3 linked regions of the Arabidopsis thaliana genome follow. The protein of the gene in region 1 interacts with the protein of each later gene in a pairwise test. Each region holds a gene or a part of one and is shown on either strand. Other genes may lie near its edges.

Region 1 (4,730 bases):
TATGACTCGTTATTATTGTTCATTCAATGTCAGACTTTAGACCCTCTTAAAATGAGAGTTGATGCTTCAGTTTCTTAACGTGTCGCTTCTGTTTCTGAGTGTTTTAGAAAAGTTTTCTCATCTATCTTGCTTTCGTCTTTCTTTCATCTATTACGCTAATGGCTAAAAGTAGTGAGGAGCCTAAGTTTTCTTTGAGACTTATTGTTGATGAAGAGAAAAACAAGGTTGTTTTGGCTGAAGCTTGTAGGGATTTTGTTGATGTACTCTTCAGCCTTCTGACACTTCCAATGGGAACCATTGTCAGATTGCTTGAGAATCATCGAAAATCTGAGCCAGTAACTCTGGGCTGTTTTAACAATCTCTATAGAAGTGTTGTGGACATGGGCAGTGATTGTTTTGAGACTGAAGCTTGTAAGCAGATGCTTGTGTATCCGAAGAGTGTGAAAGACCTCCAGTGCAAAAGGCTTAAGCTCAACATAAACCCTACTGAGGACATCAAGTGTTTTAAGTGCTCAAGTTACTGCGGCTTGTACAGTAATTTCAGCACCTCTAAATGTCGTTGCGGAAAATTTATGAACGAGGAGATTCAGTTAGAAAACGAGGAACAAGATTTAGGCCGGTTTCAAGATGATGATAATGGAGTATTTGTCAGCGGTAGGTGTTCATTCGTCTTAACCGATGACTTGGAAGTGTCAGTCAAGTCCACTGAACTTGTCTTGAATAAGCTCAAATCCTTAGGTTGTGCTGATGTTGGTAAGCTCGGTGAAAGGCTTCTTGATATTGGTGTGAAAGAGGTATGTTAGTTAGTTTATTCTTCAAGCGTTTGTGTTATCATTACTTTATTAGTTCTCTCTTACTATATCTGAATCTTGGACTAGGTACTGACTCTGCTGGGATGTATATTCTCCTCAAATGCTCCCTTAAAGGACATTTTCTTGAACAAGAAGATTACACAAGGTGCGACGAAGTTTTACAAATCGCAAAGTCCATGTTTGGAGAAAAAAGAAGATGAAGCAGAACCTGAAAAGGTAGTAACTTTGAAAGCATTTGTGAGGAAGCAGGACATGAAGATTTTATTTGTTGAATGCGGAGAGGAATTTGTTGAGCTTCTTTTCTCTTTTATTGCTGTCCCGCTTGAATCTGCATGGGAAATCTCTGGCAGCAGTATCTCCTTAGGTTGCATAGGAAACATGTGTAGAACCTTCAGGGACTTAAATGAGGAGACTCAAATGTCAACTTCCACATGCGCACTTCCGTCTTTCTATAATTTCCAGATGCAACTGCCTGGTATTATCACTCAACAACCTCCGGTGTACTACCGTTACAGGCTCTACGATTACAGGCAAATGAACTATGGTTTGACTACAAACGGTAATCGAACTACTTATTACCGCAAAGACAGAATCGTTCGGGTGGATTTGAAGGATCCCAAATCCCGTGGCAGCGATAAGTCTGCTCAGGGGTTCTTGAAGAAAGCGACAAAGTGTACTGTATTAGATGATCTGACCATTACATCTATGAACTCCTGCTCCACAGTTTGTTTACTAAAGAAGTTGCAGAGTCACGCAGACGATCTAGAGGTGCAAGTAATTAGTATCAGCAATGCAGAGGTATGTTTCTGTATACCCTTTTTGATCCTGTATTCTTGAAAGGAACTTGACTGACACTTGATTTTGAATTAGGCTTTGGATTTGTTGAGAGCTTCCTTGGTGACATCCTCTGCTTTGAGCACGACATTATGGAATTTGATTGCTAAGAAACTGAAGGAGGAGACTGATTTATGGGACACGGTTTCAAAGAAAGTGAAGGAAGAGACTTGAAGAAATAGAAAGCTAGTGAGAATGAACTCTAAGTCGATTGTTGATTATGTTTTTAGAATTCCGCAAAATCTACATTACATTCCTCATGTTTTCTTCCAAGCCTTATCTTTCTTTGTAAGACTAATCAAATTATTGTTTTATGGAAATTCATCTTAATAGGGTTTTTTAAATGCAGGCAAAAACTTGCACATCTTTTTGAGTTTATAAAGCAACAAGCCTAAAATCTGGAATTTCCTAGTACGATAAGACTGAAATATACAACCATTACCAAAAAAAATGCATCCATATACAAAAGTTTATAATAAGATCCAGTTGGTATATAGTAATTGGGAATGTTGAAGACATATGAAGTGTTGATCAGAAAAAAATAAGACTTGAAGTTAATTAATGGAAACCCTCTTTCTCAGCCAGAAGACTTGAAGGCTTCTATTCTCCTCCGTTGCCCACAAAAACAAAATTTGCTTCGCCGTTTTCGGCTCCGGCGTGATTCTTGAGAAGAACTGAAGTAGAGAGAGAGATCTGAAATCTCAATCTCCGATTTAACTTGGTAACTAGAGAAGCTTTTGATTCCTATTCTTTCTTTTGATTTGTATTTCTTAGGGTTCCGTTCATGTAACTTTTACAGCGACAATGCTTCAAATTCGTCTTCGGAGGGATTCCCCGACGGAAACTGGAAATGGTGCGAGGCCTTCTCCGACGGAGACGGTTACTGTAGCCTGTCCCGACCATCTCGTCCTCGCCGATCTTCCTGTTGCGAAAGGAATCGGTTCCGTGACTCCCACCACCGTAATCAAGCCCGTCGGTCGTCGTTCTCGCCGTCAGCTAGGCGAGAGAGTTCACTTCTGCGTTCGTTGCGATTTTCCGATTGCAATCTATGGTCGTCTGGTAAAAAACTTCGCTTCCTTCATTGGTTTATGGCTATATTGATTTGCCTTAAAGAGTTTTTTTAAGGGGGCTCTTCTTCTATATGTGATTGAAACTTTTTTTGTTTTGTTTTGGTTTTGCAGATTCCTTGTGATCATGCCTTTTGCCTTGAATGTGCTCGCAGTGATTCCATCTGCTATCTGTAACCATCTTTAACTCTCATCGAATTTCATTAGAAGCTTTGATAGAGATACTTTAGATTGTTTGGTAATCTACAGAGACGCAGGATTATCATAGTTTGAACTAGGCTTCGAATTTCATTAGAAGCTTTGATAGAGATATTCTAGATTGTTTAGTAATCTACAGAGACATTTTAAGATTTACTAGGCGTAGCGATTATCAGACTGAAATCTTGTTGTCTCTTGTGTGTGTGATTACTGCACAGATGTGATGAGCGGATTCAGAAGATTCAAACAATCAAGATGATGGAAGGGATCTTCATCTGTGCAGCTCCTCATTGTCTTAGGTCTTTCCTGAAGAAACTTGACTTTGAAGCCCATGTCCATGACCTCCATGGAAGCCTATTACAAGCCGATGCAGAGAAAGAAGATGGTAACCAGTCAGATGTTCAGAGCACAATGCAGCAGTCTTCAGCTTCAGAATCCACCTTGCGAGCTCCTTTAAGATCCCAGCTGCAACAATCCCGTGAACTAAACAGGTCGGCGTCATTTGCAAAGTCACAGTCTGGATTTAGTCAAGTCCAGAATTACCCTCCAGATAGCGATAACTCTCGCCCTCCTGGATTCGAAACCGCTAGTCCTAAACCAGGAATCCGGTTCCCAGACTACCCCCAGCCTATGAATCTTATGCAACCGCCCAGCTTGCCCGTTCCAATGAATCAAAACCCGGGTTTACCACAGCAGTTTGGTTTTCCTTCGTATCCAACAACAGAGAGTGGATCATCTCAACAATTCTTTAACGGTGCTCAGTACGAGATGACAAGAACAGAGAGCGGCGGATCAGAACAAAGTTCATTGCTCGGGTATCCCCCGCCTTCACCAATGACGAATCTGAATTTCCAAGGATCGTATCCTCCTCCATCATGGAATCCCGGAATGGCACCGCCTCACACGACCCAGCAGGTTAACCGGGGTAGAGACGGTCAAAGTTTTGGGTGGCCACAAGAGAACCGTGATGGCTTTGGGCAGGAGTAAGAGTAGTCTAGTTTGAATTTGTGCAATGTTAAACTCGTCGTTTGAAAGTTTCAAGTACTTTTGTTTCTAAAAACTGTGTCGTTTGTTGTTGGTCTAACATGTAATTCGAGTAAACCCAATTTCAACCGAGCCAAAACCGTGCCAAAAATTCCATCGGAAAAACCAAACTGATTTGGGTTGAACCAAAGGTTTTACACCATTTTATAGGAACAACCATCGTAGATTGCACCCACTGTGTCACTGTGATAAAGAAAGAACTAAGATTGATATTTTGGTTTTTAGCTCTTTTTCTTTACTGTTTTGGGAGGATGATGATGATGGTTATTATATGAGTTGAGATTTTTTCTAAACACCGCCGATGATCTCACTAATCTTAGGCACAGCTATGCTTACAGACAATATTTCACAGTCTCTTTATTGGGATTCCTTCACTCTACATATGTATTCACTATTCAGCACCAAGTTCAAATTTCTGTAAGCATTTATTCTCTAGCATAAACACACACGAAAATATACTATTAGCTAGTTAAGTATAAAATTATCAAATAACTTATTCATATTTGTTAGTTTTAAACTAGAAATCATGTGAATTGAACTGAACCAGTTATTGATAAGTGTGTGGCTATGAGAAATTTCGTTTCAAATGGATTCTCCAATTATGAACCATAATGATACATAACAATATTTGCAAGACACCATTATTTCACATTATGAGAATAGAAGAAAACTGAGATCTAAGACACTTTTTCCCATGTTTTCTATGAATTATTACGATCCCCATATAAATTTTCAAAATGTAAAAGCTATAATCATTGTCGTAATTTTCATGATT
Region 2 (4,525 bases), on another chromosome or scaffold:
GATTTTAATTCTTCTGATGGAGTATATAATAGTGCTCGACAATGTCATAATCAGTACAAAATAAATCACCTACCAACCTGAACTATATGTTATATATTTTGAGGGGCCACGTCAAGTGTGCCGTTTATTTTTGTGTTTATGATTGTTTAATATTTGTGCGTGTGATGGTGTTTCTTGCTTAGTTTCCACTTAATACACAATCAAATATCAAGTGGAACTATTTATGAAAATTGTTCTTCGAGAAGAATTCTGACCCTAAAAGGTCATTTGAGGGCTTGAGGCTTATTGTTTCCAAATTACACCAGTAAACAAGGGTTTTTTTTTGTCAACAAAGATTATTGTAATTCGAATTTCGTCTACAATAAAACAAATTTTCTTACTAAAACAAAACAATTAGCTGACGGTTGATATTTCGGCTTTTGAGTTTAATTAACTAATTGGTGATTATGTTGATGATCTTTCACACCTAATGAAGTGTCATGTATATGTATATATGTATATACTTATGTATATATAAAACGTACATATAATCATTTGTCATATATATCATCATGTATTGCATGACTAAACTACCCTTAAAAGAGGAATACGATAGACATGACCTTTAGGAATTTGTTTTTTTCTTCTAAATGGATTCCTTCGCTTCTTTTTAGCCTCGTAGTGAATTTGAACATTGCAGTTATTTCTAGTAAGATATTTTTTCTGTATTTTTCGGAAAATGTTAAAAACTAATTATACACAATTTACTTTCTCTCTCAACTCTTATTTTACGTTACTGTTTTTTTTTTCCTCTTGCAAAATTAGAGCTGCTGTATTTACATTTACTAGTAATTTGGTAGATAGACAGTTAATGTAGTATATAGATGGGGTTGAGGGCAAATGATTACTTGGGAGATGGTGCAATGCATCAGAGTGATGATGTGGAATTTAATAAGTGTGAATTTATGGGCAAAGGAAGGGAACTAGTAGTAGAAAGGGAAATAAATACAGTACAAGTAAGAGGAAAACGAAAAGAGAGATAGAAACCATAATAATGAGTTAACGCAGACATAGCCGCCATTTTCAACTTCTCACTCCCACTTACAACTTCTCCTTCTGGGCAAGTTTTCCACATCAATGCTCGTCTTAATCACCATTAATCTCTACTCATCATTAATACGTTGAAGCCCACTATTTCAAAATTTACTAGGAGTATTTATTCGTGAAAAACATTTAAATGTCCCTAATTATAAGAGATTTAATTTCATATTTATTGTATTAAAGAGAATTTACATTAGCTGTCAAAAAAAAAAAAAAAAGAGAATTAACATTATTTTACAGAACATAAAATTTTGAAAATAGATAGCGCCACTGCATGTAAGAACATACAAATTTCTTTTTTTCAACAAAATCTATTTATATTTCTTCTTTTTTTGAACATTATGTGTAGTTTGTAGTAAACTAAAAAGTGTGACCAACACAATTTAAATCATTCGATTTTGTAGCAAAAACATTTTTGTTCCAATTTCCAAGCAGCAAATATGGTAGGAATATAAATTCTTTACTATTTTTCCTCTTAACACATAAAAGTAAAAAAAGCATTCAATGATCAGTTAAAATCTGGTTAGAATTCTACCTTATCATTTAGAACTAGCTAATATTTAAATTCATATATACAAAAAATAAAATGGGAACTGTAGAGACTAGAGACTATAAATAGAGGATTGAGAAGAAGAACTTTTAAAGCTCTATCAATCATGAACTACTCGCCTTCTCCAACTTTTAAAACTCATCATAAATAGTAAAAAAGTAGCCGGAAAAATAAAATAAAAAGTCTATTTCTCTTTCCTTTAAAATCCAAATCCTATAAACTCATAGCTTTCTCTGTTCTTTACTTATACCTCACGTTATACATATATATAGAGTTTCTATAAATGCTTCTCTTTCCTCTCGAACAAATCTTCCTCACTTCTCTCATTTCCACACTCACCTTCCTCTCTATATATTAAACCCTATCTACTTAACTCTTCTTCTAACTCTAATCTCTCTCTCTATTTACTCTGCTTCTGTTCTCACTCTGAAAGAACCAAAACATGACGGTGGTTAGAGAGTACGACCCGACCCGAGACTTAGTCGGCGTGGAGGACGTGGAACGACGGTGTGAAGTCGGACCAAGCGGCAAGCTTTCTCTTTTCACCGACCTTTTGGGTGACCCGATTTGTAGAATCCGACATTCACCTTCCTATCTCATGCTGGTAATAACATGTTTCACAATCTTTTATCTTCTTTTACTTGTATGTCTCTTCAAAAACTCTGTTTGTTTTTTGAACCTAGAAGTAGAAAACATAGAACACCAACTTCTCAACCTTTGGTTAATCCAAAAAACCCATTTTCCATAAACAATTAAAGTTCGGTTCTTTTTTTGGTATCATTTCTATTTTTTTCCGATTCTTGATAAGATCAAAAGACTCATCATTTATATTATTTTTTGCAACCAAATGATACCCGAGTAACTATAACTAATAAAGTTTCCTCTTTATTATAAAAGGTTAAAAACATATAATAACGGAAAATTTAAATTATGGGACTGTAACAGGTGGCTGAGATGGGTACGGAGAAGAAGGAGATAGTGGGCATGATTAGAGGATGTATCAAAACCGTTACATGTGGCCAAAAACTCGATTTAAATCACAAATCTCAAAACGATGTCGTTAAGCCTCTTTACACTAAACTCGCTTACGTCTTGGGCCTTCGCGTCTCTCCTTTTCACAGGTACCCTTCCGTTTTCCTCCCACTCATAATCACACGCTATTATAGATTTTGGTTATCTAAACTAGTTTTGGTTTTTGCAGGAGACAAGGGATTGGGTTTAAGCTCGTGAAGATGATGGAGGAATGGTTTAGACAAAACGGAGCTGAGTATTCGTATATTGCAACTGAGAACGATAATCAAGCTTCTGTGAATTTGTTCACCGGGAAATGTGGTTATTCGGAGTTTCGTACACCGTCGATTTTGGTTAACCCGGTTTACGCTCATCGAGTTAATGTTTCGCGGCGAGTCACGGTTATCAAGTTAGAGCCGGTTGATGCTGAGACGTTGTACCGAATCCGGTTTAGCACAACAGAGTTTTTCCCGCGGGATATTGATTCGGTACTTAATAACAAACTCTCGCTTGGGACTTTCGTCGCGGTGCCACGTGGAAGCTGTTATGGATCCGGGTCTGGATCATGGCCCGGTTCGGCTAAATTCCTCGAATATCCACCCGAGTCATGGGCCGTATTAAGCGTGTGGAATTGTAAAGACTCGTTTCTGTTAGAAGTACGTGGAGCGTCGAGATTGAGACGTGTGGTGGCTAAAACGACGCGAGTAGTTGATAAAACGTTGCCGTTTCTGAAACTACCTTCGATACCGTCCGTTTTCGAACCTTTTGGACTTCATTTTATGTATGGAATCGGAGGAGAAGGTCCACGCGCGGTGAAGATGGTGAAATCCTTGTGTGCTCACGCGCATAACTTGGCTAAGGCAGGTGGTTGTGGTGTCGTGGCGGCGGAAGTTGCCGGAGAAGACCCGTTGCGGCGAGGAATACCACATTGGAAAGTGCTATCGTGTGACGAGGATCTTTGGTGTATAAAGCGGCTTGGAGATGACTATAGTGATGGTGTTGTTGGTGATTGGACTAAATCGCCACCTGGCGTTTCCATTTTTGTAGACCCTAGAGAATTTTAAAACTTTTTTTTTAACTCTATAATATATATTCTCTATTAACCACTTGATGTTAAATTAGGGGTTTTCTTCTAAGTTTATAGATTTTCTTGTTTTAGAATTAATCTTTTTTTTTAGGTAACTTTTTTTGCTTTTTGTTTTGTTTTGTTTTGTTTTTGTGGGTGTTATAAATTAGTGGTAAGAGGTAATATCTCCTACTTTTGGGTTTGTGTCTTCTTGTCTTGTAAATGGATCTAGCTTTTTAAGATACTTTTTCTTTGTGGCCAAACCAAAACGCCGACCTGATTATTATTTCCAAGTAGATAAAATTTCATGAACGCACTGATACGTATAATGATGCAATTTGTGTTAAGACGATACTTTGGAGATAAAATTACAATTATGACAATGATAGAAAATGTTACCAATAACGATTAGCATTATCGTGTGTGCCATCAAGTATAAACTAAGAGAAAGACGCACATTTTCTTAAGAGTAAATAAAATATTATGTATATTAGTTTAGTAGTTCTTTTTAGGTGGAGGATTTTGGTTCTTAGTACTTTGCTAATTCGAGTTTGATCATTGATATTTGATAGTGATTGGAGAATAAAAACTTCTTTTGATATCGCTAATCTTACGTGTAAATGACATGAATATCAATGTCATGGACCACACTTTTTCCCCCAAATATGGTCCAAAGATGTTCAACTGATAGATTTATATGTTTCTTTTGTTGGTTTGCGGTAGCAAAAGCTATATCATGATGAAACCTTTGAATCGGGTTTGAGAACGTGTCCTTGTCCGAAAGAGGTATTGTCGAGTCGAGAGCACCGATCGAGTCA
Region 3 (7,661 bases), on another chromosome or scaffold:
GGGATAAAATATATAATGGGCCAAAAGTTTACTTCCGTCTTATGGCCCATATACGAAGCCCAGAAACAAAAAAAAACTACGATCTTGAATTTATTACAAAAGCATCCATTTTTTCAACAGAAGAATTCCATTTTGAATCTCAGATTTGATCATATTGGCAGAAAAAACACTAATTGAAATAAACTAAAAGTTTGACAAAAAAAAGAAATAAACTAAAAATAAATATTTGAGACTTACGAGGATGAAACAAACTTAAAATGTGAATAGTATTGTAGCAATTCTTTTTTGAAATAATTAACTTTTAGTGATGTAGCAGGAAAAAAGAAAAAACTAAAAAAAAAAAAAAAAAAAAAAGAAAAAACTAAAATGTTAGGCGTTGAATTACTAGTTTTTTTTAGTAGGAGAGTACGAAGAAGGAAGAGGAGGTTAAAGTGCAAGAGAGGCATGAGAGCAGTAAATGGCCTAAAGCCCATGCAGCCTCTGTGTACACATTTAATGCGTCGAAACTATTCGCCACCCTATCGCATACGTACGTACGTATAACTCCATCTATATATCTGTACCTACATATATACAGTAAAAATCAGAAATAAGTTGGGTTATTGTTTTTTTATATATAGTTATTTTAAAGAATCTAGGTAAAGTATAAACTTACTGAAAAGAAAAACTTGAGTGTTAAAGCTATAGCTATAAGGACTTTAAAAAAAAAAACAAAGCTTAAGAACTAGGTAATTAAATACGCAGTATATTTCTCTATATATTCGCGTGATAAATTAAGATGAATGCATGGCTTTTACAAATTATCACCTTTTTAATGGGTGATCCGTATTTTAAATAGCTTAATTGCACGTTATAGTTATAAATGCTTGGGCCACAAAGTAATTAATATTTCTAGGCATGTAAAATGAAGTCTTACTGTGAAAAAAGTGATATTTCATTGACTTCCTTAAATTGAAAAAACAATTGTTTCGTAAACAAAACTCAAAATTAAGGTGATGATTTTTAGATTTTCTTCTTTTAAATGAAATAAAATAAATACATCACTCAATCAACTTCTGTCTGACTAACAATAATACAACCTAAACTTCTATAATATTTAAGAAAATGCCATGTGGAAGAAGAATCATGAAATTTTCCTTCTTTACAATTAAATTTATAACAAAGATATGAAATAATAATAAAATAAAATAGTTAAAAATATAATAGTCATATTTTTTGAAAGTAAAAATTAAATTTATATCTCATAAAGATAAATATTAACTATAACAAGTCATTGAATTTTAGTTAAAAAACTATATAATTTTTTTCCATATTATAAATAATCTAAGAGTATTAAAATTTCAGAAAATTACTTTTAAAATTGTATCCTTGACAAATGGGGACTATTGTCTAACTTTTTCTGTAAATGGAGAACTGTATTAAAGCAAATTTCAATATAGTTAAATCTTTTTTTAATATAGTTAATTTTGTTAAGTGGTGATTTATTGCATATGCATAAGTTATGAATAATGCTAATGATTTTTTAAAAATAACTACATATCTAATAGATAAATGTAAGTCTCATAGGCTCATAGACCGTTAGCCGTCATTCCTCACCACATTATAATATTTTAAATAAATAAAAAATAAAATTATTTTAGGTTGACATTGTATATAAGATGAAAAACAACACATAATTTTGTAACATAAATAAAATAAATTGTAACATATCTCTCTCTCTCTATATATATATAAGCGTGTAGGATAATTAAGTGTCCCTCTCGCACCATTTAATTTCATTGCACCCTCTCAATTCTCTCTGTCATTACTCTCTCATCTCTCTTCCTCCAAGATTTGCACCTACCTTTCAAACCTTTTGCTCGCCAACAAAACCGCGCTTCACAAAACCATCAGCGGTTTTCCGAGAAACAAATCTCAGACCAGACACCGCTCTACTCTTCTCTCTCTCTCCCTCTAGGGTTTCGTCGCTTCTTCCTATATCCCAGTGTATGTCTCGAAAACCTCATCATTTCTGCTGTTTTCTTTATTTTATCCATTAATTCATGTACACAAATTTATTTGTTTAAAGTATCATTGGATCCATTACACTTCAGTTTTCTTAGCATCTTTATAAAACTCTCACTTTCATGATGTTTTTTTTTTATAATTTAATATATCCTGTATGTTGAATTTTCAGTTAGTCATCTATATTTTGTCTTAAATTTTGCCTTCTTTAGCATTAATTAATTGATTTCTTGCCTCTAATATCTTTCATTCCTCTCCTAATTTGCTTTCTGACTTTCTGATTTATTGTATTCTTCTTTAAATAATCTTATCAATTTCTGCATAGTCAGAGATGAAACCTTCAAGAAAACAATAAAGAGGAAAGATTAAAGGTTAGTATTCCCTTGCCTACCAAAAAAAACAGAAAGGTTTGTATTCTCTTCGTATATCCTTATTTTCATTATACGTTTGGTTTTATATATAAACACGTGTATATACTTTATAGTAGTAGTATACATTTACATATTAATGTGTGTAATAAAAACGTTTAAATACGATGATGATGATAAGAAATAGCTGGAAAAAATTAATACATCACCCAGGCCTTATGTCACGTTGGTTGTAAGTTGTATAATAACTATATGTTGGTCCGTCGCACAGGTGCACAGATATAATACTATTTTTTTCATTTCAATTTTTTTTTCTTTCTTAATCGCCAAATAGTAGTTTACACTTTTTCCTGAAGAGTTTTTATTTTTTGAAAATCTACTAATGATTATATTTAATTAAATTTTGTTTTGTTCTCACGAAAATATTGTTTTTTTAATAAACAGGATAGAGTTGGGAATTTATTTGTACCTACTTTTTCCCATTTTATTTGCTTTGAACAAATGAGTCCAACATTTCTCTTTTCGTCTTCTCTTTCCTATCCCATCTAAATCAAAACTGATCAAAATACCTCGAAATTTTAAATTAAATCACCATCCATCAAAGCTATTATAGTGTAGAAATTTTAAAGTTTTTTCTTTGGACAACAATTGATTTCCATCTACACTACATATGATATGACTCTTGAATCAATCATAGTTTTTATTTCAGTCTGCTGATTAGTTTTTTTCTTTTCTTTTAAAAGGGTAAAAAATCGGTAGTTTCGAATAATTTTGAGTATGTGAAAATTCATTATTTTTGGGTTGGTTATTCAATAACAAATTAATTTGTGATTGTGATGTCTTTTTTATGCAAGGCTCTTTTTTCTTGCTTTCAATTAGTGGGTCCTTTGTTTCCTACAATCATCTCCAATTCTTCTGTTTGCTTATATCATTTTGTATGATCTTCAAGAAGAAAGATAAACGACTCCGAAGAAAGATTTAAGTTATTGTTGTTCATACAAAAAGAAGGTTGTAAAGTTGTTGACGTGGACAAAAGTATTGCCATATTTTTCCAGCCTCGAAGAAATTTCCCTTCTTCTTCAAACCCTAAATTTTGACAAAACTCTCTACTTTTTTTTGCTTCTAGGGTTTGCTTTCAGTTTCCGGAGTATAAGAAAAGATGTTCGAGCCAAATATGCTGCTTGCGGCTATGAACAACGCAGACAGCAATAACCACAACTACAACCATGAAGACAACAATAATGAAGGATTTCTTCGGGACGATGAATTCGACAGTCCGAATACTAAATCGGGAAGTGAGAATCAAGAAGGAGGATCAGGAAACGACCAAGATCCTCTTCATCCTAACAAGAAGAAACGATATCATCGACACACCCAACTTCAGATCCAGGAGATGGAAGCGTATGTGTTTAACTTACTCACTTACTTCAATTTTCTTGTGTGTTTTTTGACAATTCTTTTGTTTTGGTTGTTAAATAGGTTCTTCAAAGAGTGTCCTCACCCAGATGACAAGCAAAGGAAACAGCTAAGCCGTGAATTGAATTTGGAACCTCTTCAGGTCAAATTCTGGTTCCAAAACAAACGTACCCAAATGAAGGTATACTTTTTATATTATGAACATATATACATTAGTTAATGGATCTATATATATTAGAGAAAATATATATACTTGTTAATTAAATTGTTATTTCATTCATATTAAGTCTTGTATATATACATTGAAGGGCTTATCTTTATACTTAAGAACATTTTGGGTGGCTGGTGTTTTCTTTCAGAATGAATTCATTGACTTTTGGCAGATTTTAGATCTAGTTGAGACACTTTGACTTAAAATTTCTTACTTATTTTTTTTTTCAATTGAAAAGTTGTTCCTTTGGCAGAACTATATATTTGGCGGATCAAGCTATAGAAAATTGTTTGGTTGTAACAACATTGCCTATTTATTATCTTAGTTAGAGCCATATATAATCTATAGATTGAAACGTTTTGGACACATATGCTTACGTTATGCAAATACGGTGAAACACATAACGTGTACACGAGTGTTTTATTTGAAACATACACTTTTCCTCTTTTTAAGTAAAATCCTTTGTTCCTTCGTTTTACCCAAATTAGAAATAAATCACTTGTATAAAACTTTAGAGATAACCGGAATATAAGTTTTATTTGCGCAGAATCATCACGAGCGGCATGAGAACTCACATCTTCGGGCGGAGAACGAAAAGCTTCGAAACGACAACCTAAGATATCGAGAGGCTCTTGCAAATGCTTCGTGTCCTAATTGTGGTGGTCCAACAGCTATCGGAGAAATGTCATTCGACGAACACCAACTCCGTCTCGAAAATGCTCGATTAAGGGAAGAGGTATGAGAATCAACTATTTTAAATGTTCAAATAATGTTAAGAGTTTTACACTTAAATGTTGTCAAGAAGATAAAATAAAAAATTAGAATTTGTTTTTATACCACTAATGTTATATCGCTTTCACAATAATCATTTCTTTCTTCATAAAATAAAAACTTTTATAGATTTGTATTGAAATTAGAGAATTTAAACATTTTTTTTTCATTGAAGAATAGAAAAAATTATGATATTAAATTGAGATACTAAAACGATATTTTTGGAACTGTAAGGAGTAGTAGTACATAATAACAACATTACTCAACGTTTCTTCTTGTGACCAAACTTTGAAAACCACAAGGATCAATAATCTTTCTTATTTGTCTGTTTTAGATCGACCGTATATCCGCAATCGCAGCTAAATACGTAGGCAAGCCAGTCTCAAACTATCCACTTATGTCTCCTCCTCCTCTTCCTCCACGTCCACTAGAACTCGCCATGGGAAATATTGGAGGAGAAGCTTATGGAAACAATCCAAACGATCTCCTTAAGTCCATCACTGCACCAACAGAATCTGACAAACCTGTCATCATCGACTTATCCGTGGCTGCAATGGAAGAGCTCATGAGGATGGTTCAAGTAGACGAGCCTCTGTGGAAGAGTTTGGTTTTAGACGAAGAAGAATATGCAAGGACCTTTCCTAGAGGGATCGGACCTAGACCGGCTGGATATAGATCAGAAGCTTCGCGAGAAAGCGCGGTTGTGATCATGAATCATGTTAACATCGTTGAGATTCTCATGGATGTGGTAATTAACATTTTCATTTTACTTAAAAGCAATCTTCTCTGTTTAGTTTCAACAACATTGATATGATGTTGCAGAATCAATGGTCGACGATTTTCGCGGGGATGGTTTCTAGAGCAATGACATTAGCGGTTTTATCGACAGGAGTTGCAGGAAACTATAATGGAGCTCTTCAAGTGGTAATTTTTTTTGCTTTTATTCTGTAAAAATTAAATTTCAAACTGAAATAACCACTCTGTTTTGCTTGCAGATGAGTGCAGAGTTTCAAGTTCCATCTCCATTAGTCCCAACACGTGAAACCTATTTCGCACGTTACTGTAAACAACAAGGAGATGGTTCGTGGGCGGTTGTCGATATTTCGTTGGATAGTCTCCAACCAAATCCCCCGGCTAGATGCAGGCGGCGAGCTTCAGGATGTTTGATTCAAGAATTGCCAAATGGATATTCTAAGGTAATATAATAAAAACATTAGGTTATACAAAATGTTTACTTAAGTAGAGAGAATTAATGTAACAGGTGACTTGGGTGGAGCATGTGGAAGTTGATGACAGAGGAGTTCATAACTTATACAAACACATGGTTAGTACTGGTCATGCCTTTGGTGCTAAACGCTGGGTAGCCATTCTTGACCGCCAATGCGAGCGGTTAGCTAGTGTCATGGCTACAAACATTTCCTCTGGAGAAGTTGGCGGTATAACCTACTGTTTGTTTCATAAACAGTTTTCATAATCAGAGTCAGAGTCAGAATCACAGTTCTATATTAATGAATATGCAGTGATAACCAACCAAGAAGGGAGGAGGAGTATGCTGAAATTGGCAGAGCGGATGGTTATAAGCTTTTGTGCAGGAGTGAGTGCTTCAACCGCTCACACGTGGACTACATTGTCCGGTACAGGAGCTGAAGATGTTAGAGTGATGACTAGGAAGAGTGTGGATGATCCAGGAAGGCCTCCTGGTATTGTTCTTAGTGCAGCCACTTCTTTTTGGATCCCTGTTCCTCCAAAGCGAGTCTTTGACTTCCTCAGAGACGAGAATTCAAGAAATGAGGTAACTATTTTAGTTACTACGCTCTCTTGTTCTGTTTTGGACAGAGTTTTGATGTTTTTGTGAGATTTTGCAGTGGGATATTCTGTCTAATGGAGGAGTTGTGCAAGAAATGGCACATATTGCTAACGGGAGGGATACCGGAAACTGTGTTTCTCTTCTTCGGGTAAATGTGAGTTACACCGGGTTTTGAACTATTGTTATAATCATCTGATCCTAGCTAAGAGTTTTCAATCTTTCTTTATGTCACAGAGTGCAAACTCTAGCCAGAGCAATATGCTGATCCTACAAGAGAGCTGCACTGATCCTACAGCTTCCTTTGTGATCTATGCTCCAGTCGATATTGTAGCTATGAACATAGTGCTTAATGGAGGTGATCCAGACTATGTGGCTCTGCTTCCATCAGGTTTTGCTATTCTTCCTGATGGTAATGCCAATAGTGGAGCCCCTGGAGGAGATGGAGGGTCGCTCTTGACTGTTGCTTTTCAGATTCTGGTTGACTCAGTTCCTACGGCTAAGCTGTCTCTTGGCTCTGTTGCAACTGTCAACAATCTAATAGCTTGCACTGTTGAGAGAATCAAAGCTTCAATGTCTTGTGAGACTGCTTGAAAACCATCCATTAGGTACTACTTTCACTAAATATATTCTTCTCGCTTTTACGCCATTATATGATGTAATCATATTTTTCTTCTTCTTTCTGCAGGAAATAACAAAATGGTGATGATGGAAAAAAGAGAGAGATTTCAGTTTGAGAAAAGCGGAGGAGTCAAGATCGAACCTCACAAGAGAATACCATTGAGTGTTTGTTAGTGTTAAGTTTTGGTCTGCTTATTTGATGAAACTAAGCAGTGAAAAACTTTTTACTTGAAAGTGAATATGTAGATGGTTTTACGAGGTTCGGGAATTTGACTTCCCCTGTCACATACTGAATTAGACAAAAACAAAAACTAGGTTAGAAAGAATGCTTTCGGATTTCTTTTTGTGTTACAGTTACTGTTTTTCTTTCCTTCTTGTGGTTAGATGGACCATCATCAGGAATTTGGAGTTTGTCTTTCTTTTGTATAAATATCTTATACAAGTATTTTGGTACTTTTGTAAGCTT

Evidence for each region. Proteins that work in one complex are often made in the same cells at the same time.
Region 2: the proteins of AT5G01160 (region 1) and HLS1 interact in a two-hybrid assay, tested with the Arabidopsis thaliana proteins (one large-scale study listed by BioGRID).
Region 3: the proteins of AT5G01160 (region 1) and HDG2 interact in a two-hybrid assay, tested with the Arabidopsis thaliana proteins (one large-scale study listed by BioGRID).

The regions. Positions count from the first base shown.
Region 1 is NC_003076.8:51,830-56,559, forward strand, and holds AT5G01160 (RING/U-box superfamily protein), read left to right. Parts: upstream 1-2,026; 5' UTR 2,027-2,367; exon of another isoform or gene 2,368-2,445; 5' UTR 2,446-2,450; coding exon 2,451-2,705; intron 2,706-2,827; coding exon 2,828-2,886; intron 2,887-3,129; coding exon 3,130-3,898; 3' UTR 3,899-4,223; downstream 4,224-4,730. Other genes in the region: AT5G01150 (hypothetical protein (DUF674)), read left to right, coding at 159-794, 879-1,610, 1,683-1,820. UniProt on the Arabidopsis thaliana protein: Probable E3 ubiquitin-protein ligase which is a subunit of the N6-methyltransferase complex, a multiprotein complex that mediates N6-methyladenosine (m6A) methylation at the 5'-[AG]GAC-3' consensus sites of some mRNAs.
Region 2 is NC_003075.7:17,656,860-17,661,384, forward strand, and holds HLS1 (Acyl-CoA N-acyltransferases (NAT) superfamily protein), read left to right. Parts: upstream 1-1,734; 5' UTR 1,735-2,072; coding exon 2,073-2,234; intron 2,235-2,522; exon of another isoform or gene 2,523-2,575; coding exon 2,576-2,751; intron 2,752-2,831; coding exon 2,832-3,705; 3' UTR 3,706-4,019; downstream 4,020-4,525. UniProt on the Arabidopsis thaliana protein: Ethylene-responsive N-acetyltransferase required for differential cell elongation in the hypocotyl. Regulates apical hook formation of dark-grown seedlings. May control differential cell growth by regulating auxin activity.
Region 3 is NC_003070.9:1,512,895-1,520,555, reverse strand, and holds HDG2 (homeodomain GLABROUS 2), read left to right. Parts: upstream 1-1,655; 5' UTR 1,656-1,986; intron 1,987-2,329; 5' UTR 2,330-2,375; exon of another isoform or gene 2,376-3,498; 5' UTR 3,499-3,531; coding exon 3,532-3,773; intron 3,774-3,851; coding exon 3,852-3,969; intron 3,970-4,546; coding exon 4,547-4,735; intron 4,736-5,104; coding exon 5,105-5,518; intron 5,519-5,592; coding exon 5,593-5,694; intron 5,695-5,765; coding exon 5,766-5,966; intron 5,967-5,993; exon of another isoform or gene 5,994-6,031; coding exon 6,032-6,206; exon of another isoform or gene 6,207-6,290; coding exon 6,291-6,562; exon of another isoform or gene 6,563-6,635; coding exon 6,636-6,731; coding exon of another isoform or gene 6,732-6,752; exon of another isoform or gene 6,753-6,811; coding exon 6,812-7,168; 3' UTR 7,169-7,182; exon of another isoform or gene 7,183-7,256; intron 7,257-7,262; 3' UTR 7,263-7,655; downstream 7,656-7,661. UniProt on the Arabidopsis thaliana protein: Probable transcription factor. Involved, together with PDF2, in the regulation of flower organs development by promoting the expression of APETALA 3 (AP3) in the epidermis and internal cell layers of developing flowers.